7 linked regions of the Nothobranchius furzeri genome follow. The protein of the gene in region 5 binds, or shares a complex with, the protein of the main gene of each other region. Links are inferred from orthologs where the notes say so. Each region holds a gene or a part of one and is shown on either strand. Other genes may lie near its edges. The genes, in order: med25, med19a, med4, med7, med24, med31 and crsp7.

The links.
Region 1: med24 (region 5) and med25 share a complex: the UniProt entries of both Homo sapiens proteins name them as parts of the mediator complex. The link is inferred for Nothobranchius furzeri from reciprocal best matches to the Homo sapiens genes MED24 and MED25.
Region 2: med24 (region 5) and med19a share a complex: the UniProt entries of both Homo sapiens proteins name them as parts of the mediator complex. The link is inferred for Nothobranchius furzeri from reciprocal best matches to the Homo sapiens genes MED24 and MED19.
Region 3: med24 (region 5) and med4 share a complex: the UniProt entries of both Homo sapiens proteins name them as parts of the mediator complex. The link is inferred for Nothobranchius furzeri from reciprocal best matches to the Homo sapiens genes MED24 and MED4.
Region 4: med24 (region 5) and med7 share a complex: the UniProt entries of both Homo sapiens proteins name them as parts of the mediator complex. The link is inferred for Nothobranchius furzeri from reciprocal best matches to the Homo sapiens genes MED24 and MED7.
Region 6: med24 (region 5) and med31 share a complex: the UniProt entries of both Homo sapiens proteins name them as parts of the mediator complex. The link is inferred for Nothobranchius furzeri from reciprocal best matches to the Homo sapiens genes MED24 and MED31.
Region 7: med24 (region 5) and crsp7 share a complex: the UniProt entries of both Homo sapiens proteins name them as parts of the mediator complex. The link is inferred for Nothobranchius furzeri from reciprocal best matches to the Homo sapiens genes MED24 and MED26.

The regions. Positions count from the first base shown.
Region 1 is NC_091745.1:8,284,234-8,288,413, forward strand, and holds the start of med25 (mediator of RNA polymerase II transcription subunit 25), read right to left. Parts: upstream 2,801-4,180; 5' UTR 2,675-2,800; intron 2,641-2,674; exon of another isoform or gene 2,620-2,640; intron 1,304-2,619; 5' UTR 1,294-1,303; coding exon 1,169-1,293; exon of another isoform or gene 1,152-1,168; intron 1,079-1,151; coding exon 1,033-1,078; intron 942-1,032; coding exon 817-941; intron 725-816; coding exon 626-724; intron 1-625. UniProt on the Homo sapiens protein: Component of the Mediator complex, a coactivator involved in the regulated transcription of nearly all RNA polymerase II-dependent genes.
Region 2 is NC_091741.1:91,561,880-91,565,026, reverse strand, and holds part of med19a (mediator of RNA polymerase II transcription subunit 19-A), read right to left. Parts: intron 1,994-3,147; coding exon 1,860-1,993; intron 1,777-1,859; coding exon 1,680-1,776; intron 1,599-1,679; coding exon 1,504-1,598; intron 1-1,503. UniProt on the Homo sapiens protein: Component of the Mediator complex, a coactivator involved in the regulated transcription of nearly all RNA polymerase II-dependent genes.
Region 3 is NC_091754.1:35,370,361-35,373,040, reverse strand, and holds part of med4 (mediator of RNA polymerase II transcription subunit 4), read right to left. Parts: intron 2,482-2,680; coding exon 2,311-2,481; intron 1,966-2,310; coding exon 1,908-1,965; intron 930-1,907; coding exon 843-929; intron 753-842; coding exon 621-752; intron 1-620. UniProt on the Homo sapiens protein: Component of the Mediator complex, a coactivator involved in the regulated transcription of nearly all RNA polymerase II-dependent genes.
Region 4 is NC_091742.1:50,786,542-50,790,516, reverse strand, and holds med7 (mediator of RNA polymerase II transcription subunit 7), read right to left. Parts: upstream 2,801-3,975; 5' UTR 2,659-2,800; intron 1,456-2,658; 5' UTR 1,447-1,455; coding exon 682-1,446; 3' UTR 132-681; downstream 1-131. UniProt on the Homo sapiens protein: Component of the Mediator complex, a coactivator involved in the regulated transcription of nearly all RNA polymerase II-dependent genes.
Region 5 is NC_091756.1:31,522,625-31,526,124, forward strand, and holds part of med24 (mediator of RNA polymerase II transcription subunit 24), read right to left. Parts: intron 3,031-3,500; coding exon 2,917-3,030; intron 2,587-2,916; coding exon 2,533-2,586; intron 2,457-2,532; coding exon 2,374-2,456; intron 2,296-2,373; coding exon 2,209-2,295; intron 2,093-2,208; coding exon 1,981-2,092; intron 1,853-1,980; coding exon 1,710-1,852; intron 1,620-1,709; coding exon 1,582-1,619; intron 1,506-1,581; coding exon 1,423-1,505; intron 1,300-1,422; coding exon 1,121-1,299; intron 1,036-1,120; coding exon 936-1,035; intron 671-935; coding exon 495-670; intron 413-494; coding exon 148-412; intron 79-147; coding exon 1-78. UniProt on the Homo sapiens protein: Component of the Mediator complex, a coactivator involved in the regulated transcription of nearly all RNA polymerase II-dependent genes.
Region 6 is NC_091750.1:26,556,666-26,560,674, forward strand, and holds the start of med31 (mediator of RNA polymerase II transcription subunit 31), read right to left. Parts: upstream 2,801-4,009; 5' UTR 2,651-2,800; coding exon 2,626-2,650; intron 2,359-2,625; coding exon 2,284-2,358; intron 2,211-2,283; coding exon 2,114-2,210; intron 1-2,113. UniProt on the Homo sapiens protein: Component of the Mediator complex, a coactivator involved in the regulated transcription of nearly all RNA polymerase II-dependent genes.
Region 7 is NC_091751.1:71,980,944-71,985,088, reverse strand, and holds the start of crsp7 (mediator of RNA polymerase II transcription subunit 26), read right to left. Parts: upstream 2,801-4,145; 5' UTR 2,593-2,800; coding exon 2,521-2,592; exon of another isoform or gene 2,424-2,520; intron 1,678-2,423; coding exon 1,603-1,677; intron 1,517-1,602; coding exon 1-1,516. UniProt on the Homo sapiens protein: Component of the Mediator complex, a coactivator involved in the regulated transcription of nearly all RNA polymerase II-dependent genes.

The sequences.
Region 1 (4,180 bases), on a different chromosome or scaffold from region 5:
AGGATACTCCGTAAACTCCTCCGAGCAAACATGGAGGAGAAGTTGATTATGTTTTATATAGTAAAATCACAAGTAAGATTTCACATAACTCTAACAGTAACTTGTGAAACATCATATCTATCGCTTTATTAACTCTGAACAGATTAAATAACCTTAATTCCCTCCAACCTGACACAGCCAAGCAAAACAACGCAAGTTTAGATTTCGCCATGAAACAGAACGCGTAGACGACTTTGGCGCTGGCCGCCTCCCGTGTGTCAGGTAATAAAAGCGACAGCAACAAATTTCGCTGATCGCGGTCGTTTGTCGCCTCCCGTGTGTCGAGCCCATTAAGTGACAGTGTGATGTAGATCTGTGTGGATTTTCCAATCCTAGAGTTTCACCGTCTATTTTATATCAGAAGCTAATGCAGGAGATAGGTGTAGGAGACTGTTGTCATGTTCAGCCAGCATGAAAAACTCAGAATGACCAATTATAATCAGAAATAATGATTAAAGAAATTTTTTTTGTGTTCCACATGAAATTTCATAATCCTAGTTCTAATTTGACTAAACTAAGAAAAGTATTACGACAAACTATTATGACAAATTCTTTTCAGCAAATCAAAATCGAAATGCTCGTTTACATTTGTTCTCTCATCTTTTTAAAGTCGTCAAAAAGCTGCAAAGCCACAGAGAGCCCTTCAGCAATCAGGCTGCAGCTCTCTGCTCCACCCCCCATAAACCTGGCAGAAAGAAAAGTAAATTACAATCATGTTTTCAATTAAAAAATGGATATTAAGCATTAAGAACTTTGCAGCTATTCCCAAAGCATTACTGGATTTTGTCGATCCATGAGACAAACTCAAAGGCAGAACTAGTTGGTGCGTGACACTGGACGTAGGATTCAGGAGCGCACTCAACCGTGTTAAACACCACAAGGCCGTACTGGGTTCCTCCATACTATAAAAACAGAGAACAGAGGGTCTTTTTGGTTTTTGAACAACAATACCTCCCAAACTCACAGCAAAAACAATATAAAAATACCACTCACATCTCCACCAAAATCTGTTTCTGCTGGAGGCCCTCCGTTGAAATATCTATGACGGATAAAATAAACAAAAATATTATTCCATAACTAACCAAAAGCAGACACAGACTAACAGCCTTTACCTTTAAGGAATTCTTACTCAATTGCTGGAAGTATATAGTTTTTCCTTAAGGATTCAAAGTACGGTCCGAGGTTGGCTGTTCCTTCGATGACGAACACCACATCAGCCACCTGGTTGAAACCAGGTTTACTGGAAGGCTCCATGAACGCTGATCTGGACATTAAGATGATCTCATCATGGAATGAACCAAATTATTAAGGCTTTTGAAGAAATCTAAACAAATTCCAGCAACTTGATAGAATACAGAGCTGAACCATACATGTGTACACTTTAATAATTAAATGGGGAAAGTAGTGGGATGCTAACGTTCCAAGTCCAACTTCATTTCCTCATATTTTGCTTTCAAGCAGCCAAACTTTCTTGTTTTCTTAAGACTTTGGCTTCTTTTCTGCTACGTTTCTGTCCGGCATAGGACCATAACAGAAGAATGATTTTTATTTGGTTTGCCCTGAACCGGTACAAGACATTAACAGAACATAGAAAACAAACTAAATCTGTTTTGGCTTGCTGTTACATGCGGCTTCTTTTGTGTTTTTACCTAAGAAAAACACCAAAAATAACAGTCAGACAAAAAGTGTTATTTCAACACCAACAAGGTGGTTCCCAAAGAGGTAGGAGCTATAAAGATGTGATACGGCATAGAACTGTTCTGTACATAGCAAATATATGGTCAGTAAAGCAAAGATCTGCTTGAATCTCAATAATAACCTGCTATATACATGTTTTAATTTCTGCTACTGTGCAGCTCTCATACAGTAAATGATCATCCGAGGGACCTTCCACATGTACGGATTTCGATATTTTTATAGAGGGATGACTTTCAGAAACTGTTCCTCCACTGGAGATCTGACACTTCTCTTCATCTTCCACTTGATGGTATTCCTTACTTTTTCATGCATGTTAGACAAAACACTGTTATGATCAAGAGCATAAACTGGATACAAACGACTAAAAAGCAACAAAAGTACAGGAAAAACTTCTAAAAGAAAACCAAACAACCTGAAGAAGGGAAAGACGATTTCAGAAGATAAGAAAAAGGGTTGGGTATTAAGTTATTATAAATAACCTTATATTTCGCACAATCGTATGAGGGATTATCTGTGAAGCTTCTAACATCAAGTCTAGGTGGAAAAAACAGAGAAACCGCTTTCTATTTAGTACAGTCATCCTGCAAAATGGACTTTGAATCCCATAGTTATTTCCACATAAGAGACAGCCTGCTGTTTTTACATATAGGCGGCTAAGTGTATAAAACATCCTGTAGTGTCTAAAGTAAACACTGCAGGGTTAAGAAAAGCCCCACTCTGGAAATAAGAAAAGTTATGATTTAACGTAAATCCTACAGCAGATTAGAACTTTGTTCATCTTAGCTGAACGCTAGAGTCAGGTGTGAATAAGACCTGCTCATCATCACGAAGACACAACATGAACATCATTATTAGCATTAGCAAGAAAAGTGCGATTTTTACCAAAAGTTCCAACAAGCTTCACATAGAATCTGGTCAGCAGCAGATAAGAACTGACCTGATGGTGTTCTGCGACCAGCGGAGGCTTTAAATGAGAAACAAAACGAACCTAAACCAAATATAAACACAACAGAGCAGCTAACATCACCGTGTTTAGGTAATTTTCTACGGAAGTGACGCCACGACCCTCGACCGCCACTAAAAACATCTTCTTCGCCATTTTCGTTCTGCAGACAGGAGGCTGAACAGCGCGGTGCTGCCCCCTTCTGTTCTAAGTAATTATCACCAAACCTCATTCACACAGATTCTTTTCAGGAGAGAAAACATGTGTCCTAAATGTAATACCTTTTCATTTTGATTTTACCTATTACTTTGTAAAATGTTTACACAACTATAGTTTTGTTTGTGGCTTCATTTTAGACTGAAACTGCTCTTTCATGAGAAAAGAGCCCAGTTCTGCAGAAAGACCACTGATGGTGGTGAGATCAAAGTCCCAGAACAACTCAAAGTTATTTTATGAACGTATTACCATTCTCACACCCAGTTTATGATTATTTTCAAATGTAGTAAACTCAATGTGTGTGTGTATGTATGTGTGTGTGTGTGTGTGTGTGTGTGTGTGTGTGTGTGTGTGTGTGTGTGTGTGTGTGTGTGTGTGTATGTGTGTGTGTATGGGTGTGTATAACATGAAAAGCTCCTTGGTGGCAAGGATCTGAATGGAGAGGAGATCCACCTGGAGTTTTTTAAGCCTCTGGAGCCTCATTTATCAAGCTTGCTTATAACACGGGGTCAGAAAACTGCGTAAGCAACTTTCCATGCAAACTTTGGGATTTATAAAAGAAAATTTAGCAGAAAAATGTGAGCAACTTTAAGTTGGATAAGGACCTGGCTTACACAAATGTTGGACATGGAGAGCACCTGCAGTGCTGCTGCTGAGCAGGATACAATTATGAAATCCTGCAGCATTATCACTTGTACTGCTTCGTTTTCACACAGAACAAGAACCCCCCCACACACATACACGCGAGCGCACACATACACGCGCGCACACCCACACACACACGCGCGTGCGCACACACACACAAAAACACACACACACACAGCTTGAAGCGCAGAATACGGAATGCAGAACATCAGCAGGGGGACAGATTGAGACAGAATGTCATGCGTCTGTGACAGTGTGTGTCCTGTCACTGTGACCCAATTGATGATGTGCCCTGGCTACTTAGGCAAGGGAGATCTCTGTTTTGCTGACTGGTTAGCGTGCGTGACTTTCACCCGGGAGTCTGGGGATCGAATCCCAATTGGACCATTTTTTTTTATATCTGCCCCATTTCTCTCTGAAGAACTCACAACATTGACGGCTTCAGCAACGCTGTGCCACTCCATGGATTTCCTCTTATTTGTTTTGCAAAAGCGCTTTCTTTCATTTCTCCACCTCACCCACAGGTACCTCAGTTTCTGCTTCTGTGAAATAGCACTTCTTTGATCTGCCTTGATCTACGGTCGCCATCGTCATTGGCGGAGCGCTGCAACAGCCGGCTTATGTACATGCATAAGATCC
Region 2 (3,147 bases), on a different chromosome or scaffold from region 5:
AGTGACCGTTTCCCATGACACCATACAACGCACACTGCAGAGGAATGGCATACATGGGTATTGTCTACGAAGGAAGCCTCTCCTAAAGCTCATGCACAAAAAGCACACCTAGGATTTGCTAGGGCCCGTGCTGAAAGAGATGAAGACTACTGGCACTCTGTACTCTGGAGTGATGAGACAAAGATCACAGTTTGTGGAAGTAATGGTTTCAAAACTATGGCGTTGTAAAGGTGAGGATTTCAAAGAGAAATGCATGGTGCCTACAGTGAAACGTGGTGGTGGTGGCAGTGTCCTTATGTGGGGCTGCATGAGTGCTGCTGGTGTTGGGGAGCTGCATTTCATTGATGGCATCATGAACTCAACGATGTCCTGTTCTATACTGAAGGAGAAGATGCAGCCATCACTCCATGCACTTGATCATTGGAGGGGATAATGCAAAGAAGGATTCTCCAGAGAATCAAGAAAATGATGGACAACCCTGAGCATTCTCTTCACAAGACTGTCCGACAACGGAAGAGTGTCTTCAGTCAGAGGCTTCTTCAGTTTGGCTGCAACACTGACCGCTACTGGAGATCCTTCCTGCCAACAGCCATTGTAATATACAATAACTCTTTGATGACTTGATTATTATTATTATTCTGAGCTACTACAGCAATCAATTTCCCTCTGGTATTAATAAAGTATCTTTGAATTGAATTGAATTTGAATCATTGTGCACGTTTCCACCACGACAATGATCCAAAACGCATCTAAAGCTACTGTTGCATTTCTGAAGAAGAACAGGGTGAAGGTGATTGAATGGCCAAGTATGTCTCCTGATCTGAACACCTGTGGGGAATTCTGAAGGTTGAGCATCACTCTCCATCCAGCATCCAGATTATAAAACACGTTATTCTTGAAGAATGGAAAAAGATAGATGTTAATGTTTATGTTTATTTATTTAGCAGACGCTTTTATCCAAAGCGACTTACAATTTATAACCTATAGGGCATGTTGTGATCTGTGGGGGAAACCGGAGTACCCGGAGGAAACCCGAGCATGCATGGGGAGAACACGCAACTCCACGCAGAAATAGCGACAGTGCAACAACTGTGCCACCATGCAGCCCGATGTTGCAATATGTCACCATCTTGTTCATGCCATGCCTAGAAGACTTGATGTAGTAGTTTTTGTTGAGGGGTGTATTCCTTTTTGCTAAAACCAATTTTAGCAAAACTGAAGATTTTGTGATCCAAGTCATATTAATAGCCTTAATTTCATGTTATGGAGTTAAGCAAGTGTTTAATAAAACCCAGCCTTGTTAAAATTCTGGAAAATTTTTTTAGTTCATTGAGCTACTGATTAAATTTGTACTCTTCAAAGGGGGTGTACTCATTAATACTGAGAACTGGATGAAAAAACAAAACTGCTGTGCGACTTATGTCACAATGCTATTCCGAGTCAACATTTTAAATCTTTTTAATGCCCAGCTAGAAACTTAATTAGTGTTTAAAATTTTCTCACCTTCTTTTTTTTCTTGTCTTTCTTCTTTTTCTTGCGGTCAGGATCATCGTCCCTCTTTTTCTTCTTTTTCTTGGGATCAGAGTCTGACGGAGTTTCTAAAATCAGAACAGACGTGTCAGTGTGGTGAAAAACACGTAGCACTTGTTTCAGCTGACCTCACTAACACGCCACCAGACCTTGTGGGAGGGGGTCCTGTGGTCGATTGTGCTTGTGTTTGTGTTTGCTCTTCTTCTTTGGGGGCTGTATGTGCATCAGTCTGTACTGTTCTGGAAGCTGGAAAAAAAAAAAAACACTACATGTTACATAACGGGGATAAGATGATCATTTATTATCAGGCATAATCAGTGTTGTGGTACCGGTCCTGTATGTAGTCTGAATCCTGTGAGCAGAGCACCAGTCAGCGGGCTGAACGAGTTCCCACAAACGGGAGGCTTATCTATCAGAGAGCGCAGAGAGCTGCCGTCCTGAGTGCCCGGACAGTCGATCATACCTGCAACAAAAGAGACACTATAAAAGTGGAAATAAAGAGCGTGGCTGAAAGGGATCCGTGTAATTTACAGGCCATAGTGAGGAGTCCAGGTGAGATTAAAGAGGCTAAAAAAAAACAACAAATCAGAAACAATGAAAGTTAAACTTTTGGTTTTAGAGATACAGCCTCAGCCCTCAAAGTCTAATTCATTAGAGCGCCCAGAAGTCCCAGCACCTGTCAGAATGCAGGTTTAGATTAACTATAGCTTAAGCCACTGGAGTCAAACCCTGGCCCTCGAGAACTGACCTGCCAGTGCATATGTTGCCAATACTACAGATCCCAGAATGCTTTGCTGCATTATCAGCAGCATCCATGCTACCAGTCTCGAGGAGGGTACGGCTGCGGACCTGGAGACCACAGATTCGGTCTCAGACAAACAAAAAAATGACTGCTTAGTTAGCACCCAGCAATTTGCCAACTTTGAAGCCCAAATATCAAGATTTCAACAGCTCAGTAATCTATTTGTGGCCGACGTGAAAAGCGCAGAAAGCAACCTCCAAATGGAGCCAAATGAGCTCCGGTGTAGTAAAACGCTCAAATTTGACTCTGTGGCTTCTGCTCAGTTTCCATCTGATGTGTTTTATTTCAAAGTTAACTGCCCGTGTGTTGTTAATTTTAAACTTTGGTTATTCCAGAGTAACTATTAATGCAAGACTATGGTTTGTTTCCATATAAAACATTCAACAACACAAATCAGAAGATAAAGAAAATTTTAAGCATTTGCATCCATAAACATTTTCCCATGACTTTGTTCTAGTTTCTCCAGTTTGGCCCAGAGTGAATTTCAGTTTGACACCCCTGGCTTAAACGATGACAAATACAGGTAGAAAATCCTGAAAAAGTATAGTATTTTGTCACTTGTTTAAAAAAATTCATCTGACCTATTATGTAAATTAGGGATGCACGGATAACTTTTTTACCACAAGGAAGGGAAACCATAGAAAGTCATTGCTAAAGAAGCATGTCAGTTCCACTTTACTAAGTCCATCAGGGACCGGACAAGTTGCAAGTGTGATATTCTGGCCACAGGGGGCGGTGGGGGTCTGAGTGACATTTTTTTCACCCTAAGGGTCATTTTAGTACATACTGGCTAAAGAAAACGATGTAAAAATATG
Region 3 (2,680 bases), on a different chromosome or scaffold from region 5:
TTTGTTTTTCACGGAGGTCAGCTGCGAATTCCTCTTCCGGTCAGGATCTAGGAATTGAAATAAAAAACTGAGCGTTTTTGGTTCTTTTTAAAACACAGGAAAGGTTTCTGTGTTTTAAAAAGAACCAAAATGTTATTAGAAACTAGACACAGTAACAACACACCAAAGAAACTTTGAGCGTTTCCGGGAAAAACTCACTCCTGGTCCCGGTTCCCATCGATGCTCGATGCCCAACTCTACAGTTAAGTCACTCCAATGTTTTAGTTGTTATAAAAGACAGTTTATACAGCTTATCTTGGCTTCTATTTCATCTATTTTTCAGCTGATTGTTTTAGTGTTTGTACATTTTCCATCTTTTGTTATTTAGTCTCAATGTTATTTTTCTCTTTTTATGCTAAATTTTGAAATGTTTTTGATGCTTCATCTCATTAAAAGTGCTGGATTTGTTCCGTGTAAGCATCTTTGGTCTTCTGCCATGCTACTTTTATACATGCTATATAAATAAAGATGGTATGGAACAAGACACATTCTGAAGTGTCAGTATAAAACAAAACCAGTCTTCATAAAGACCTGAACTTACGCGGCACTCAAGTGTTTTAATTCTGCTCTTTTTAACTTACCTGGTAACCGTCCTGCAGCCAGAGCATCACCTGGCAGGTGTCCGTTCACACCGTTGGATGGCAGGTTTGCCATGTGACCCAGCATCCCGCTGCGCATTTCCAGGTCGGTGGGATAAGGTCTGCGTGGATCTCCTGTCACCAACGTTTGGATGGTGTGTTAATGAAGTCAAACCTGCCCTCTACTGACAGCCAGTGGGAACTGCAGGGGCCTCCAGCTCCTACCTGGCACCCAGTTGAGTGGAGCACACACGGCGTTGCTGGCACTGATTCGGTGAGCGTATTTGATGATTTCCTCTGATGAAATGCTTCCTGCAATTAAAAACTCAAAATCAAGACAAATGAAAGAAAAACAAGAACAAGACAGACTTCATTAGTGTGTGTGTGTGTGTGTTCCATGTGTGTGTGTACGTGTGTGTGCGCGCGTGTGTGTTACGTGTGTGTGTACGTGTGTGTTTCGTGTGTGTGTGTGTGTGTGCGTGCGTGTGTGTGTTCCATGTGTGTGTGCGTGTGTGTGCCTGCGTGTTACGTGTGTGTGTGCCTGCGTGCACGTTTGTGTGTTCCGTGTGTGTGTGTGTGTGTGTGTGTGTGTGTGTGTGTGTGTGTGTGTGCGTGCGTTCCATGTGTGTGTGTGTGTGTGTGCGTGCGTTCCATGTGTGTGTGTGTGCGTGCGTGTGTGTGTTCCATGTGTGTGTGCGTGTGTGTGCATGCGTGTTACGTGTGTGTGTGTGTGCCTGCGTGCACGTTTGTGTGTTCCGTGTGTGTGTGTGTGTGTGTGTGTTCCATGTGTGTGTGCGTGTGTGTGCATGCGTGTTACGTGTGTGTGTGCCTGCGTGCACGTTTGTGTGTTCCGTGTGTGTGTGTGTGTGTGCATGCGTTCCATGTGTGTGTGTGTGTGTGTGTGTGTGCGTGCGTTCCATGTGTGTGTGTGTGTGTGTGTGTGTGTGTGTGTGTGCGTGCATGTGTGTGTTCCATGTGTGTGTGCGTGTGTGTGCATGCGTGTTACGTGTGTGTGTGTGTGTGCCTGCGTGCACGTTTGTGTGTTCCGTGTGTGTGTGTGTGTGTGTGTGTGCGTGCGTTCCATGTGTGTGTGTGTGTGTGTGTGCGTTCCATGTGTGTGTGTGTGCGTGCGTGTGTGTGTTCCGTGTGTGTGTGCATGCGTGTTACGTGTGTGTGTGCCTGCGTGCACGTTTGTGTGTTCCGTGTGTGTGTGTGCGTGCGTGCGTGTTCTGTGTGTGTGTTCCATGTGAGTGTGTTCCGTGTGTGTGTGTGTGTGTGTGTGTTCCTCACCTTTCCGGGCTTTTTCTATAGACTTAAGTTTCTCTTTTGCCTGGTAAACAGCGGTGGCCTTAAATAAAAGAACAAGGGAACCAAAAATCATTTGAGGAAAGAAAACACTCAGATTTAAAGAATGATGTGTTTGTGAGTTTCTACTAATTATTCATGTTGACCAAAACCAGCAGCGTTGGTGGAGACTTCACACAAACCCACTCTGAAGCAGCAGCTGCTCCACCCTTCTCCATGACAGCTTCATGCTTTTGTTTGGTTTGTAAATTCCCATCAGCTATTGTAAAAGTTCAGTCTTTAAGCAGTTTACAAACAAGCAGCAGCACACAGCTGCAGGAATGGAATGCAGCTCATACAGATGGTGCTAAATCATATCACCGCATTGCAATTCCTACAACAAACCTACTAGTATGTGTTCGGCCTCCTTCAGCTGCTTCTGGAGCTGCTGGATGTCGCTGTCTCTTTTCTCCACCTCCTTCTCCAGCAGCTGCATCTCCTGGTGAACCTTCCCCTGCTGCTGGGCCACCTCCATCAGCTCCTGGAACTCCGTGTCCCTCTGCACCAGCAGATCAATGATCTAGATGGGAAAAACAGATTGCAAATGTTACATCCAAATTCATATTCAAAGGATAACCAGTTAACAGCCATGGCATGTCTAATCAGCAGACTTTGCTGCATCATTATAGACACCAGTGTACCTCAGATCTTCCAGGAAAAGTGATTCCAACAATAACAATAATAGGTAGTAGTTGAAATGTAAACACTCAAAAATGAAA
Region 4 (3,975 bases), on a different chromosome or scaffold from region 5:
CTGCAGCTTTCACCAAAGCAAAAGGGGAGGGGGGAGGGGAGGGCTCCCAATGACGAGACGGCTCCTGTCGTTCACTTCAAAGAGCCGGCTCTTAGAACCAGTTCGTTCGCGACCGACACATCACTATTAAATAGGTTTTATTTGAATTTTTATTGGAAAAATAGTGTATGTATAAAGTATCACATGTACAGACGACTGACAGACGTAAACCTATCAAATGTCACCTTTCAATTCAGCACACCCCAACCCTAAACTTGTCTACATTGCATTACATTTTAAAAGAAGGCAGAATGACTTAATTAAATTTTACTCAGGTCTCTGATGAATCAAGCTCTTTGATATGCCGACTAGCTAAAGGATCTACGCATCTACCGCTAATGCATAATCAGCAAACCACAGCGTCAGAATTAGCAACAAATTCTTAACAAAAGCACTTTGTGTTTATGTGGAACCATATTAGATCATCGTTTTTGTGACGGCACTAAACTCCTGCTGCGGTTTCAAATAGATTTATTGAGCCCAGTGAACACAAAGATCTGTATAAGATTTAAACGCTAAGGAAATATTTACAAGTACATTTAGTTGAATTTGAAAAGAACATGTACAAATAATAGTATTTTTATCCCACACAAAGTATTTCATGCTGAGTGAAAAGTAAAAACATGCATGTGCTGTAAATCTTCATGCTATCTCATCTATTATACTACACATGGCAGCATCCTTGTCCCATGTTTTGTCTGTTTTTGAACTTGGGACATTCTTGTCCTGATCACCTGCAGCCATGCAGCTGGCGCCCGTGTCCTCTACATCCATTGGTTCGGTTTTCAGAATGGGGGCCTGTCCAGAAGAACAACCAAAACTAGATCCAGCAGACACACTCTTGGTCCCAACACACACACCGTCTGTTACATCCGACTGGGGTAAGTCATCAGGTAGAGATGCAAGGCACCCCTGGATCATCTCCACCACCCTGTCCAGATGCTTCTGGAACCTCTCTGCCGTCTCCAGTCTCTGCCTCTTCTGGACCTCCATCATGACTCTCAGTGTTTCTCTGGCTTGGTGTGGCCTGTACTCGTTTATAAGATGATGCATGTGAACAAACAAAAGCTTCATGTCCTCCAGTTTCTCTTCACGCTTTATGCTGCCAGGACTCTTGATGAGAATGTCCAACAAGTCCAGAAAGTTCACAAGAATTGACATGTTTAGTTTTTTGAGCTGCCGCTTGTGGTCAAACTGCATTGGATGGAGCCTCTCGATGCCTTGGCTCTCCAGAGGTCGAATGATAAGGTCATCACACTGGAACTGGTTGCCAAACATCATGTAGCTGTCTCTAATGGGTGGAGGCGGCTTTGGGACCAGACCCTTGCGGATATTTTCATCTGTGTACTCTTTAATGTACTGCATAGGTGGTGGAGGCAGGGCGCTGACCTGCTGTGGTTCACCCATGATGCAGACCTGAAAGTATAGAAAAAGAAAAAACATTTATTAGGAATTCCAGGCACTATTAAAGATCAAGAAATGCCTAAATGAACTTTTTTTTAGCTGATAACCTGTACAGATGAGTGTCTAATAGTGCTGTAGACATGTGCAATTATCAGTGTGGCAGTTTAGTGCAACTTATTCTAAATTTAATATTTCAGCCCAAAACCATAGTTATATCTCCATCTTCAGATTAAAACTCGGCTCCACATTCATGTAGAACCAGCTGTGGCTGATGGCTAAGCTGAAAAACATGACATTATCAGCTGATTACTACTACTACACAATACATTACAGCTACCTAATGAGCACAATAACTTATTAGGTAACAGCATATCGTGTAGAGCTCTGCATCAAAAGATATACACTATTACACATAACAGATTGTAGTAAAAGCCTGAATGCCCCTCATTTGTACAAATAAATACTGTTAAATGTAAACTGCAGTAACAAATAAAATGTTTTTATTAAGAATTTATTATTGTTTGATTTACTTTTTGAGAGTTTCGATAAAAGATTCTCAAAATCCTTGTACATAAAATATATTTAAAAATTCGACAAACGTCATTCTCCCAATAACTGCAGGATTCTATCATTAGGCTGGAGGGGCAAATTCAATAATCAGCATACACTTCCAGTAAAGTGTTAGTCTAAAATCTAAACTAATGTGTTGCAGCACCAGTCCAGCACAAAACATTCAAAGCAAAACTAGATTCTGATGGGTTTTTAAGTTGCACCTACTGCTGTTGTTGGTAGGAAAAGTAGATATGAACTTAAAATGACACGTAAATTATAGTATACACACTACTGCTCATTTTGGCGTAAAACATTTGCAATCTAGTTTGAAGTAAAATTAGGCTTTATTAGCCATAGTTAATAATTATAGGTTTAATATCTGGCTGAAACGTTGTTCTTAGGTATTTAAGTAGTCAAATTCAACTCCTAGCACGCACCTAACCATTGAACCTTTGTCTTCTGTGTTACCTTTATTTTGTTACGGACTCAATGTGTTATTGACAAACACTACAAGCAGAACTACGTTAGCGTCACCGCTGCATTTTGTACAGAAACCTAGCTAACTATAGCCACCGCTAATCCCGGTAGTTAATTGGGCACGTCAAAAATGAAGCGAACTACATAAAAGGTAAATGAGAAGGGAGTAAATGTATTCATACCCACCTTAAGAACAATCCTTTAGAAACACAACATATACTTCTAATAATAACGTTAATCAAATATCGTTGGAAAATTAGATCAGGGCTAACATAGCTTCTTCGATAAATGCAGAAAAGACCAGTCGTTTCTGTTTGATTTCTATTGGCTGAACTGTCCTCGTGATTGTTTTCCTAACGCTGATTGGGGTGCGGTCACAGAAAGAGCTCAACGCTGATTGGTAGAAATATCCGGAAGCACGGAAAAATTTGTTTTTCTTTTACTTTGTTCTTCAGAGGATCGATGGAAAAAGTACCGTTTGATGCCCAAACTGAACTGATTTTATACATGAAAAAGAAAAGTTACTAAAATATTCAGATAACTGTTGAATATTTTTGAATGAAAATACTAATTTTAAAGACATAAAAACAATAACCTGTATATTAATTCCTTCGGGTTCTCATTTTACAAACTATGTCAGTTATTGTTTGTTCTTTATGTTTATTTAGCAGACGCTTTTATCCAAAGCGACTTACAATTTATGACCTATAGGGCATGTTGTGATCTGTTTGTCCTCTTTCAGAATCTGCAGAAATCTATGAATTTTATCCTAAAATAATAATAATAAAAAAAGATGATTGTGATTTCTTATGTATGTGAAACACCTGCCACAAACAGAACGGTGTAAAAGGGTTGATATCGATATTAAAAAGAAATTGGGTTGATAATGACAAACTGAATTCTATTATTCTCTTGTGAAAAGATAGTGAGCAGCATTTTAATTCCTAATGTTCCGAACCGGTTTGCTCACGTTTATTTATTTACTCCTTGTCACCTAGATGAGTTTTGTAAATTTTTATGTGGCTTAAGTAGTTTTTACTCTTTACTTTAATCAAGAATTTAATGGACTGCATTCACTGTAAACAGTCTAAACTTCTCTGAAAAATAACAATATTTTGACGTGTAACCCCTAAATGCAAAGACACATTTAGAGAAAGAGAGATATTTCTTTATCTTAACTTTTTTCAGTGATGTTTTGTGTTTTGTTACTCATTTTATCTTCCCAATTGTTTAAAAAAGTACTACCAAAACCTGGATTTCTGCATTCACAGTCCTGCTTTGGGCTTAACTTGTTAATTCTCTATAACATTAGTGAAAGTACATGTGCAGGGTAGACATCTACAGTGTTTGTGCATCAAACAGTGTGTATTTCTGCTTGCGCAAATCATTTGTTGCCACAAGGATGTGGTTTACTGCCTGCCGCAGCTTCACGCCGGAAGCTCCACAGCATCTACGAAGTTTATCATCCACAACTTTGCCTTTTCTTCTTCTGACTCTGCGAGG
Region 5 (3,500 bases):
GGTGTCCAAACAGAAGATGCTGTAGAGCAACTCCACCACCCGCGTGGCCCACTCCTGACGTGTCTCTTTCAGAAGCTCCTGGAACAACACAGCAGGTGTTTATATACCATCTGAGCTCATATTGGATGCTTTATTCATTCTCGTTACCTTGATCAGGTTGTTGGTGAACCAGAAGACCCCCCCCATGTTGAGGAGGCTCTCAAACAGATGCAGAGCCCGGCTGTCCACCCAGCCTTTGCGCAGCACCACCTGGAACTGCTTACTGAGGGCTTTATGAATTGGTTCTTTAGCGGGCAGCAGGTTGCGGTAGGGGATTGGCTCCTGGCCCTCGACCGGGGCCCGCAGGACGGCACCCGTTTGTTGGAAAACATCGGCGCACATGTGCTCCATGATGGAACTCATTATGATCACACTGAGGAGAGATGAAAGGAGATAATGTGGGCTGTCACCATAACCTGATCACGGTGCTGAATTGAATACATTTATTTTTGTACCGCTCGTTATAAAACTGCAGGGTGTTTTCCGCAAAATTTGGAGTCACGAGCTGTCGGATCATCGTCTGAGGTTTCTCTCTCTCGTCCCTCCCCAGCATCCGTACGTGGGCCACCAGCCAGGCCACTGCGCAGATGGCCATGCTGCACACCTTCCCCTTGATGTTGTCTGTGATCTTCTACACTCAACAGACATGGTCGCAGCAAGAAAAGAGGAAGGAAACGTGGTGAGGAGGATGCAAAGAATGGAAAAAGAGGTGAGAGGATCTGACTCAAATGACATCCTTCCACATTCTGTCACATGAAAACAAAACGCACGCATAAGACGTTGGGCAAAATAAGACGTCATTGTAGATTACGCACAAAGGGTGACAAGTCATGGCACAGTTAAGTGCAGTTCTGTGTTCAGGGTGGCAGACATGATGAGGTTAGGTGAAGACTGACCTGCACAGCCTCCACAGAGAGGACGCCATTCTCCCACGCATTCAGAACTTCCAGGATAGCTGCCGGAGTGCTGAGGCAGATTTCATGCCACTTCACTTGACTTTTAAAAAAACAGACGCAGATTGTTTAAAAACAACAAGACTCCATTAGAAATAGGAAAGCACCTACAAATAAAATAAACGTACACTAGTTTCATCTCTGAGGAGTTGTTCAACAGGGTCACCAGGCTCTCCACTTTTCCAGGCTCAGGCCTGAAGCAGGGATGGTCCGGGTTCAGCGTCTTGCCCTCTTCAGGCATGCACGTCTGCAGCCACGTTTCAAAAAAGGGTGTCTCTCCTGAGGGACTGGGGTCTGACAAGATCACCTTTATGGAGATGGAAATAAAGGAAAAATGAAGCATTTTCTGCTAAAATTGGATGATCTTCAGATGAAAATCCATGTTACTCCACATTCCCTATATTATAGTTGTGTTTTTGGACAAGCTCACCTCAGACCCATATGTCTGCACAACATGGCAGAGCATGAGGAATGAAATATCAAAAAGCAGGGCTCGTACAGAAGCAGACTTAGCTAGGAAGGGAACATCCTCAGCGTTAGTACATCAGATCACCGATATTATGTCATTAAAACTGGAACATCAACTCACATCCTTCTCCACTGATGTGCTTTGGAAACTCATTGAGCCTAGAGGCAGGAAGAATACAAACCAAGATTACCGGCGGTGGTAAAACTCCAACATGTCCTCACCTGCTGTTACATCACATATCAACTCACTTGATGAATTTCCTGGCAAACGATTTGAGTTTTCCAGTGGCCGCCGCCGCTGCCAGAAGCAGATCCAGGCTCTTCCCTGACAGCATGTGTCCAAGAACACCTAGAAGACCCTCGGGTGACTTTGAGTGGTCTGCATCTACCGTCTGATAAGAAAAAGAAGGGGGGGGGGGATGCTTCTTTAAGAGATTCGCAGTTTAGGAACTATTCTGCTTCAAGTTATTTTCTTAGCTCACATCGTTACATGACTCTAGGTGTTGTTTGGGTTAGTTACCTTCAGAATATTGGTGACAGTGGGCTCAGCTCTCAGGATAAGGCCTGGGTTCGGTTGGATGTTTGCATTTTCTGCTGTTTTTAGCCTTGGGGAGAACTCTCTGTCCTCGGTGCTTAATGAAATGTGCAGAAGGAAAGATGGAGGGGGGTGGGGGTAAGGAGACTTAAAACGTGTTCTCTGCTGCATCACATTCATGTGAAACGTACTGCATCATGCAAAGACTCATACCGTTTGGATGTGAGGTTCTCCGTGTTTGGGTCTGACAGCAGCCCCAGCTTGTTGCACTCCTGCAGAAGCATGCTGAGGCAGTCACAGCTATGTGAAGAACGACCAGGAGGAATGAGACGTCTGCAGGGTCTTACCAGATGACTCAAATAAGTTTGAATCACTCACTTGCATCTCTGATCTGCTTTGTCCAACAGCGGGGTGAGTTTAAGTAAAAACTGAAACGCAGCGTTCACGTCCTCAACAAAATCCTGGAAAACGTTTAAACATTAGTCACAGCAAAAATTAGAACTTGTCATGATGAAATCAGTGGGTTAAATACTGTACCTGTCCTTTATCACTCTGAGGATACTTCTTTAGTCTGAGCAGAACTTGTGGGATCTAAAGCAAATAATACGAAATTCATTTTCGATGCCTAAAGCTCAAGAAAACAACCTTCAACCCCTTAACGCCGGTTGTCGCAAATTCGCATCAAACCCACATCTGCTCCAAATGCAACCAAAATACTGCAAGTACCTGAGAAAATCCACAAGTGAAAAAAACTTTTATAATTGAAAATGAATCCAGGCGTTAAGGGGTATGTCGCTTTACTAAACTCTAGAAAATGCTAAATAAAAGTCTGTGCCACGTTAAATGCAGTCATAATAAAGACTAAAGGATTAATAGCAGATGTGGGCTCAGGGTCAAGATCTTTGAATCACATCTTCCTACTTTGAGGAAAGTAAAGGCAGTCCATTTCAGCTCTTCTGTGCCCTCTGGTGACTCGATGAGTCCGGTGAAACACGCCTTCCATATCTCCAAGATAAAAAGAGGAGCAGGGATTCGCTGTTGAGGAAAAAAACAATGAAAGGTAAATATACACAGGTGTGTGTGTCTACAGCGCTGAATCTGGACACCAGGAGCTGTTTTGCACCATTTCCACTCGTTAGTTTTGTCTCTTTAAGTTTATGATGAAAACTTAAAGGGGAATTAGGCAGTTTTGGCTTGCTTTTAGCACCCTCTACTGTCCATTTGTAGAACAGAAAGCAAAACCTATCTCATTACTGTGCGTTTGTCTTTTTCAAGGGAGTCAAGCTCAAATTCACACTGGGCCGAAATGAAAATCTGGGACGAAGTCGCGGGCCAAACTTTTTATTTTTTGAAAAAGTGACGGCAAATTTGCACATTTTCTTTATCAACATATATGCAATTTTGAACCTTTTAACTTTGAAACAAACTTCTTTTTGCATTAACACTGAATGTGGAATAACCAAATTACAAACCAGCAAGTCTACTTTAATAAAAACACATCAGTG
Region 6 (4,009 bases), on a different chromosome or scaffold from region 5:
CAGAAAGTGTTAACGGTTATTTTATTTTTAAAGCAAGAATGTGGATTTGAATACATGCTCATGAATTTCAATTCTGGTGTATAACTCTTATGGTATCAGTATGCTACTCTTAAATTTTAGCTTAAGCTTCATATGGTGTGGGGGGGTTGGGGTTATAAGCTTCTGTCTGTACCCATTTTTTGATTGTCTAAGTTGTGCGTTTACTTGTAAAGCCACCATTTAAGAAATCGTGTTACGATCATGTTTATTAGCTCCTGATCCGATCGTTTTCAGCAAAGCATCAAAATAAAAAAAGATAAAAAAACACTTACAAGTTGTCCTTTGTCACTTTCATTTGTTTGGGAAGTACACCGATTTAAAAACGCGTTTACATTGTGAATATATTTAAAGGTTGTTTCCTCCTTCATTATGCAGCTGGACTGATGGATGCACAATCCCGTAACGGATAAGGTAAGCGGCACCTCTGCTGATAGGCTAACTTTTAACGCACAACACCTACCTGTGCTTTGGGCTTTGGGGCTGCAGGAAACATGTTTGTATGCAATTATTTTTTCATATATTAGCGTACCTTTCTGTCAGCTGGTTCCACTTTTTTGTCCGAGTTCACTGTGAACTGGGACTGTAAGTGGCAAACTGGGAATTAATGGAGACCGGTGATTCATTTTGACACCCAAAGGGGAAAGAGAAGGTAGTTTGTTTGAAGGCAGAGAATCATGGAAACATTCTTCCAGCATGTTGAATGCCCAGTATGCACTTACTACACGTGGCTGTTGCTCTGCCTTTTCTGTCCGGTTTAAAATACCACCATGCTGCAGACGTTAGCCTGTTTGCTAACAGCTGCAGCGTGGTGTCTGAATCTCTGCCTGATGTAAGTTGTGTGATGTTAAGGTGCTGTTTTTGCATACGAAACAAAGAATATTGATGTAGAGGAACTTGTTGAAATTAAAACTAAACTGGTAGTATTCCATTGGAAATTCTTTATCTCAGAATGAATTAAAAAAAGTCACGTTTGTTGTTTTAAAAGGTTAAATTTGATTAATTTCTCCCGATCCTTTTAAAATCACGCCACTGGATCGGAGCATCCCTACTTTTCAGGAAAACCACCTTTTATTAAACAACAACAAAGCGTGTAAAAATATCCAGGACAACTGCAATGTCCTTGAAGGGGGGTTCATCATGATGAGACGTACCCCAGTGGCCCCATGTACATCTTAGAAGAAACACCGATGCAGTGTTTGACTGATCGTCACTTTAAAGAACAAGTCAACCCCTACCAGAGTCTAATAACTCCACTTCCACTTCATGTTTGAAAAATGCAACAAATGCTGTTGCCTGGCAGACCGAGAGGACGGAGCCACTAACAAATACACACACACACAGGCTCACGATAGCATTGTGACATCATAATGTACCAGTTTACATCATAGCATACCTCTTAGCCAATAGCGGTTGCAGATTTAAATTCAAATACAGTGCAGAGTTTTTACCTGACAACGGCACAACACTGCCAGTTTTAGGCAGAATATTTAAATTTTAACTAAGATGCACTGAAGTGCCAAATTATTGACGACACGTGTCTGCAGCACGATTAGACACTCGTTTATTTAGTTTATCAGCAAAAAAATAGTTGATTTGGGGGTGACTTGCTCTTTAAAGAGCAAGTCACCCCCAAATCAACTATTTTTTTTCTGATAAACTATATAAATGCGTGTCTAATTGTCCTGCAGACACGTGTAGTCAATAGTTTTGCACTTTAGTGTATTTTAGTTAAAATTTTAATTTTCTGCCTGAAACTGTCAGTGTTGTGCCGTTGTCAGGTAAAAACTCTGCACTGCATTTGAATTTAAATCTGCCACCGCTATTGGCTAAGAGGTATGCTATGATGTAAACTGGTACATTATGATGTCACAATGTCGTGAGTGTGTGTATTTGTTAGTGGCTCCACCCTCTCGGTCTGCTAGGCAACAGCATTTGTTGCATTTTTCAAACATGAAGTGGGAGTGAAGTGCGCTTCTTGTAAGGGGTGACTTGCTCTTTAAAAACAACATGAGTTCCCCGATGAGCCAAAAGTACGACCAGCTTGGTCTGCTTGTGGATCCCGGACCCTTCTTACTTGAGGAACTTGGCATATTCAGGTTCCTTCCAGTAGAGCAGGTACTTCAGGTAGTTGATGAAAGGTCTCTCCCTCAGGTAACCCCTCTGAGCCAGAACTGAAACAGAACCAGATGTTTCATTCTGTGAACGTTAGGAACCCGCTTCTCTCGCTGTGGATCAGTCACTCACAGTTCAGGTAGTTCGGGTTGGCCAGACACTGGACAAACTCCAGTTCGGACTGGAATCGGTTCCGAGCCTGTTCATCTGGACCACATAAACATCCGGCACAACAGAAAACACGTTTAGTTCACCAGACTCCACTTAAAAACCAGACACTTTATTAAAGTGCTTCTATACTTTCCTTAAAACTTGTTCGAACAACTAAAAACACTAAAAGTGGGAAAACAACACGAATTTTAAAACTAACGGCTTCGCATATTAACCAAAAATCAACGTAACTGCTGTAATAATAGTTTAAAACCGGAATGTTTGTCTCCGTTTAAAACCGAAGCTAAAACATACACTACCAACCTGTTTCCATGACAACAGGAGTCATTGACTGGGGTATAAACCTAATATTTTCAAATTTGAACACAAAACTAAGAAAGCACAAATCTTCAGAGCCTCCGTCTTTGTTTAAGTTTAACAAACGCCATCAAACGTAAGCGGACTCTTGTGACGGGAAACCGAGCGTCCTTCACGACATTCACTACAGTTTACGGCTGCTGTAGTGCTTCTTTCTGACCACTAGAGGTAGCCACAGAAATAGAAACAGAATTTATTTGAGGGCAGTTAAAGCACACATGATATAATATAATATAATATAATATAATATAATATAATATAATATAATATAATATAATATTGACCTATTTCTCCTTAGAAAAGCTGGATTAAGCAAACATTTAAAAATAAACTCATCCATTATTTAGGTGAAGAATATAACTATAAATTATAGTTCAAAACTATAGTAATTGCATAACCATTTAATGTCTATCAGACTAACTAGCTAACTAACTAACTAACTAACTAACTAACTAACTAACTAACTAACTGAGGGTCTTAACAGTGTGGTATTCCCCTATAACGGCTGCCCAGCCCTGGGGCCTCATTTATAAAGCTTGCTTACTCACAAACAGGGTCGGAAAACTGTGTAAGCAACTTTACAAGCAAACTTTGGGATTTATGAAAGAAAACTTAGCGGAAGAATGTACACAACTTTAAGATGACTAAGCACCTGGCTTACGCACATTTTGGACATGGAGAGCACCTGCAGTGCTGCTGCTGAGAAGAATAAAATTATGAAATCCTGCAGCATTATCACTTGTACTGCTTCGTTTTCACACAGAACAAGACCCCCCCACACGCACACACGCACACACACACACACACACACACACACACACACACACACACACACACACAGCCTGACGCGCAGAATACGGAATGCAGAATATCAGCAGGGGGACAGATTGAGAAGGAATGTCATGCGTCTGTGACAGTGTGTGTCCTGTTACTGTAACTCGATTTATCATGCACCCTGGCTAGTTGAATAGGGGAGATCTCCATTTGGCTGACTGGTTAGCACATGTGACTTTCACCTGGGAGTCTGGGAATCGAATCCTGATTGGACCATCTTTTTTATATCTGCCACAGATCTCTCTGAAGAATTTACAACATTGACGGCTTCAGCAACGCTGCGTCTCTCCGTGGATTTTCTCTTATTTGTTTTGCAAAAGTACTTCCTTTCATTTCTCCACCTCACCCACAGGTACCTCAACTTCTGCTTCTGTGATATTGTGCTTCCTTGATCTGCCTTGATCTACGGTCGCCATGTCATTGGATGTGATTCAAGTTCTTGTGTGAGCCTTGAGCGCAGCTTTGTTTTATTTATACTCTACAGAGAAAACTTGCT
Region 7 (4,145 bases), on a different chromosome or scaffold from region 5:
TGTGTATTCTGTCCAGGTCCTCATCCGTCACCTCCCGACTCACACCTGGTAAATCTCCTGTTAAATGGTCCGTCTGCAAAACGTGTGTTTTATTTGAGTCTTTAGTCTCCCTTTCTTCCCTTTTTAGATATTCTGACATGAAGAAGTGTGCGCTAGGGGCCTGGACCCCCGAGGAGGTGAGCACGTTGCTCTGAAGGTTCAAGTAGGATTGGATTATTTCATTTCTAGTCAGCTCCTTCCAGTTGGTCTGGTGGAAGGGGTTTGAGCTGGGACCTGGGGCGGGGGCTGCACAAGGGGGCTGTTGGACAACGACTTCAGTTCTCTGCCTGGACTCTCCCAGGTCCGGAGTGGGGGGGTCCTCTGTTGGAGAAAGTTCTTTATGCACCAGAGGTTTGATCTGACCAGTGACCGGGTCAAATGTCAGTCTGCGTTCTTTTAACCGCACAGGTTTAGTCGTGTCCTCTAGTTTCAGGCCATCCAAGTTAACGGAGTAGTCTCTAGGCCTGTACTTCCTCCTTTTATGCTCAGAGTTAAGGACTGGCCCATCAGGGTCATCAGACACACTTAAGCTTCTTTCAACCACCAACCTGTGGACCTCTGAGTTCTGCGGGGGAGGCGGGGGGGAGGGGGAATCCAGTGTTGCAGATAGATCTTGGGGAGAGCAATGAGAGAATACCTCTGATGAATTAGCAGAGGGCACTGAAGACCGAAGAGAAGAAAGTTTTTCACTGTGAGACACCGGTGCTGGGGAGGACAGAGGCTGGGAGAAGAACAGGGGGGAGTCTCTAGAAGATGGGCTGGGGACCGGCGTTCCCTTTGCTACGTACGCTGAACGCTTAGAAACGGGGTCTTGCTTTAGGCTCCTGGGACTGGAAGTGAGACTGCGGGGACTCCTCGCTGGGTAATAGCCCCCGCCCCCTTCTTCCAGTTTAGCTTGCTGTTGCATCACAGCAACTTTAATCAACGAGGAAGTGCTAGGTGCTTTGGCCATGCCAGGGGAGCTGGGACGGGGCTTGACAGCATTAACTGGAATTCTGTTTCCTTTGTCATTTTCAAGGTGGTCTGTCCGAGGCCTGTCAGGAGAAGGAACGACCTCCTGGTCGGCCAACGCATCGGCACCACCAGCAGTCCCGTTGGTGGGTGGCGGAGAAACAGAGTCATCAAACGCCGACAACCTGGAGATTTTTTCTGTTACGTACACGCCACTGTCTCTGTGCTCTGCCCGCCGCTTGCGGTTACTTGACTTCTCAGCCTTAGGCGAGTATGTGTTGTGAGCATCACTTCGGATTGTGACTTCTGTGACCGCTTTCCCCGATACAGAAATGTCAGGGGGAGAGGGATCGGTTTTGCAGGGATGGGAACTGCCATTGGTAGACCCCGGGACACTTGCTGAAACAGCCGGCCCAGGTTCAATCAGTTTTTGCCAGTTTCTCAGGAGTTTCTTTGCACGCCTTGCAAGGTCTTCATCCTTGGTTTTCCTCCTTACATCATTAATCAGTTTTCCAAGTCGAGTTTCCTGAAAATAAATAATTAAAAAGTGAAAACTATTTTGGCACCACAGCCTCTGTAGGCATTAACCGCCTATGACACGTTCATTCTTACCTCAAGTGCTTCTTTGGTAATCGGATACTTCTCAAGACAAGCGATCACTTCCAATACAACCACCATGTTGCATATCTGCAACAAGGACATGCCAGCAGTTAGTAACCCCCAGCTTCTACTGGTGGCAGTAATATTTAGATTTACAGCTGTAGTCTGTGGATGAAAATGTAATCACACTGGACAATCCCACCCAATCACATTCCCACAGTAACAGGAACTCCAGAGATCTGGACTAACTGCTCCCTGACTCCGGGGTGGAAAACAACATGTTCATCGGGAGAAACTCAGCTGGATGTTTAGCTCCAGAAACCGAACGATGTTGCAAAGCTGATGTGGCACAGAGACACTCAAAAATACCTGGAATCATCTCAGCAAAGGTTTATGAACTTGGAGCAAACCGAGCATCTTGTCGACAGCGTCAGCCCTAGCCCGAGTCGGTGGACCTGCCTGTGTTAGCTAGTCAGGGTAGTTAGCATTTAACTTACTTTAGAAGGAAGGAGCATTTCCTCAACGCTATTCCAGCCACTTGGTTCCCTAAACTTTGTGATTGTTTAAATAAAACATTTTCACTAAAACTGTGCTGTTTGGGATAACTTAAACTTTTCTTTAGATGAGATGATTTCGTAAAACAACGACTGGATTGCTCCTTTATACCAAATCTGCTTTGGTGTTAAGCTACGTTAGCAGCTAACAGGCTACATAACGGCAGATATCCGTCCAATCAACGCAGCGCTGCTGCTAAATTAGCTGGCATGCTAGCTGTCAACTCGCCCCGAGCCTTTTTGTCACCGAGACATCCGACGTGTCGAGGCCGAGCGCACCTTTCAGCGTAGTTTGTATAAACAGCGACGTGCCACCCGAACAGCTGCGTGGATGTTGATAGGCAAACAAGCTAGCGTTAGCTTTAGCATTGCTCACATTGCTCTGACTGTCAATGGCCTGCAGCAGCCGGTCCTTCATCTGCTGCGGGGTTGCTGAGACCGTTGTCATTGCCTGTTCGGTGCGATCCAGGAGATGGAGGGAGGAATCCTCCAAAACGAAAGCCGGGTGACTCAGAAGCCGCTTCGGGAACACGTCGGGCGCCCGAGCAGCATGCTTTCTGTCGCATGTAGGTCTGAGTTGATCTCACATGGAGTCGGAAATATGTGAGCGGAGCGGAGTCGCTGCTGCCTCGGACCTCCTCTCACTACCAACTGCTGGATGCCTCAACGGCCTCCTGCTGCATGCTGGGATACGATGTGTCTACGTCATCACGTTCGTACGTAACCAAGTAAACATCCCGACCACAGTGACGTTTTTAAATATAAACTTTGTGAGTTGTTTTTCAGTAAATATTTGATTGACCGATTTTATATGAAACGTTTAAATTAAATTAAATTCAAGTTTATTTATGCAGCAACTTGGTGGACTGAATGACGGACTGACAGTTATGAAAAACCTGTTTATTACAGATGATACATGTTTGTGATTATAAAAATAACAGATCTAAGACAGATGCTAAAGCACATTGTGATTTCCTACGGACCTGTGAAAAGGACAGCTTTTGAGAGCTTCTGGCTCATGCTGTCACACTGAAAGCTACGAGTGGCTAATCTTGCAAGGTGGTGCATCCTCAGCTTAAAGAACAGGGAGACAACAGATGTCAACAGTGTACGGGAGTGACACTCAGTTCCGTACGGTGTCTCACTGATGAGCTCCCCGAGCAAAAACACATCCTCTGACCCGATCCTCTTGTGCACGATGTAGATGACCTCCAGTGGTTTGATGGGCTGTGATCGTCTGCCCACTGATGCCTGGCGAATTGCCCACTCTGCTGCTCTGATGACCCTCACAGCACCTTCAGATGGGACCACAAGACCCCGTTGTTCTGCAGAGACAGCAAATGTAGCTCTGGTCATCACAGGCAGATGCAGCATCATCACCAGGCTGGCACGGCAGACATCACAGGACAGCTTGGTCATGGCTCGCCGCACAACAAATCCTGAAATTACAATTACTAATGTAACTGGACAGTGTGCTTGTCTTCATACTTTACATAAGCCTATAGAACAACACGGTGTCAGGTGAGAAATCAGACAAGAACTACAGTTTGTCTACCTAAAGTAATCATGATTAGTAAGTGTGGCATTAATTCCTTGTATTTATTAATCAGGGGGATTTGATGAGCCAGCAGTTTTTCTAAAGACTACAAACATCTTTTGTGTTTTTCTTCTGACCGCTTTTTTAGGTTCTTTTTGAAACACGGGGAAGGTTTTTTACCTGCTGACACTTTTGATTGTGTCTGCGATCTTCCTCAGAGCTGACCCCACTGAGCGTTTTTTTTACACTATCTGAATGAATAATAGTTCAAAAGCAAAGCAGATGACAGAGACTTATCAGCCTAACACAGTTGAATGTTTGTTATTGTTAAATCGTATGAATGACACGTTGCCGTGACTGAAGACATCGTCTATTAGAGCATCCATAAGAAGCACAAAAGTCAGGCATGCTTGTTGTGTTTCACGCGTATTTCGTGTCCCATTGATCATTTTTCCTTGACCACA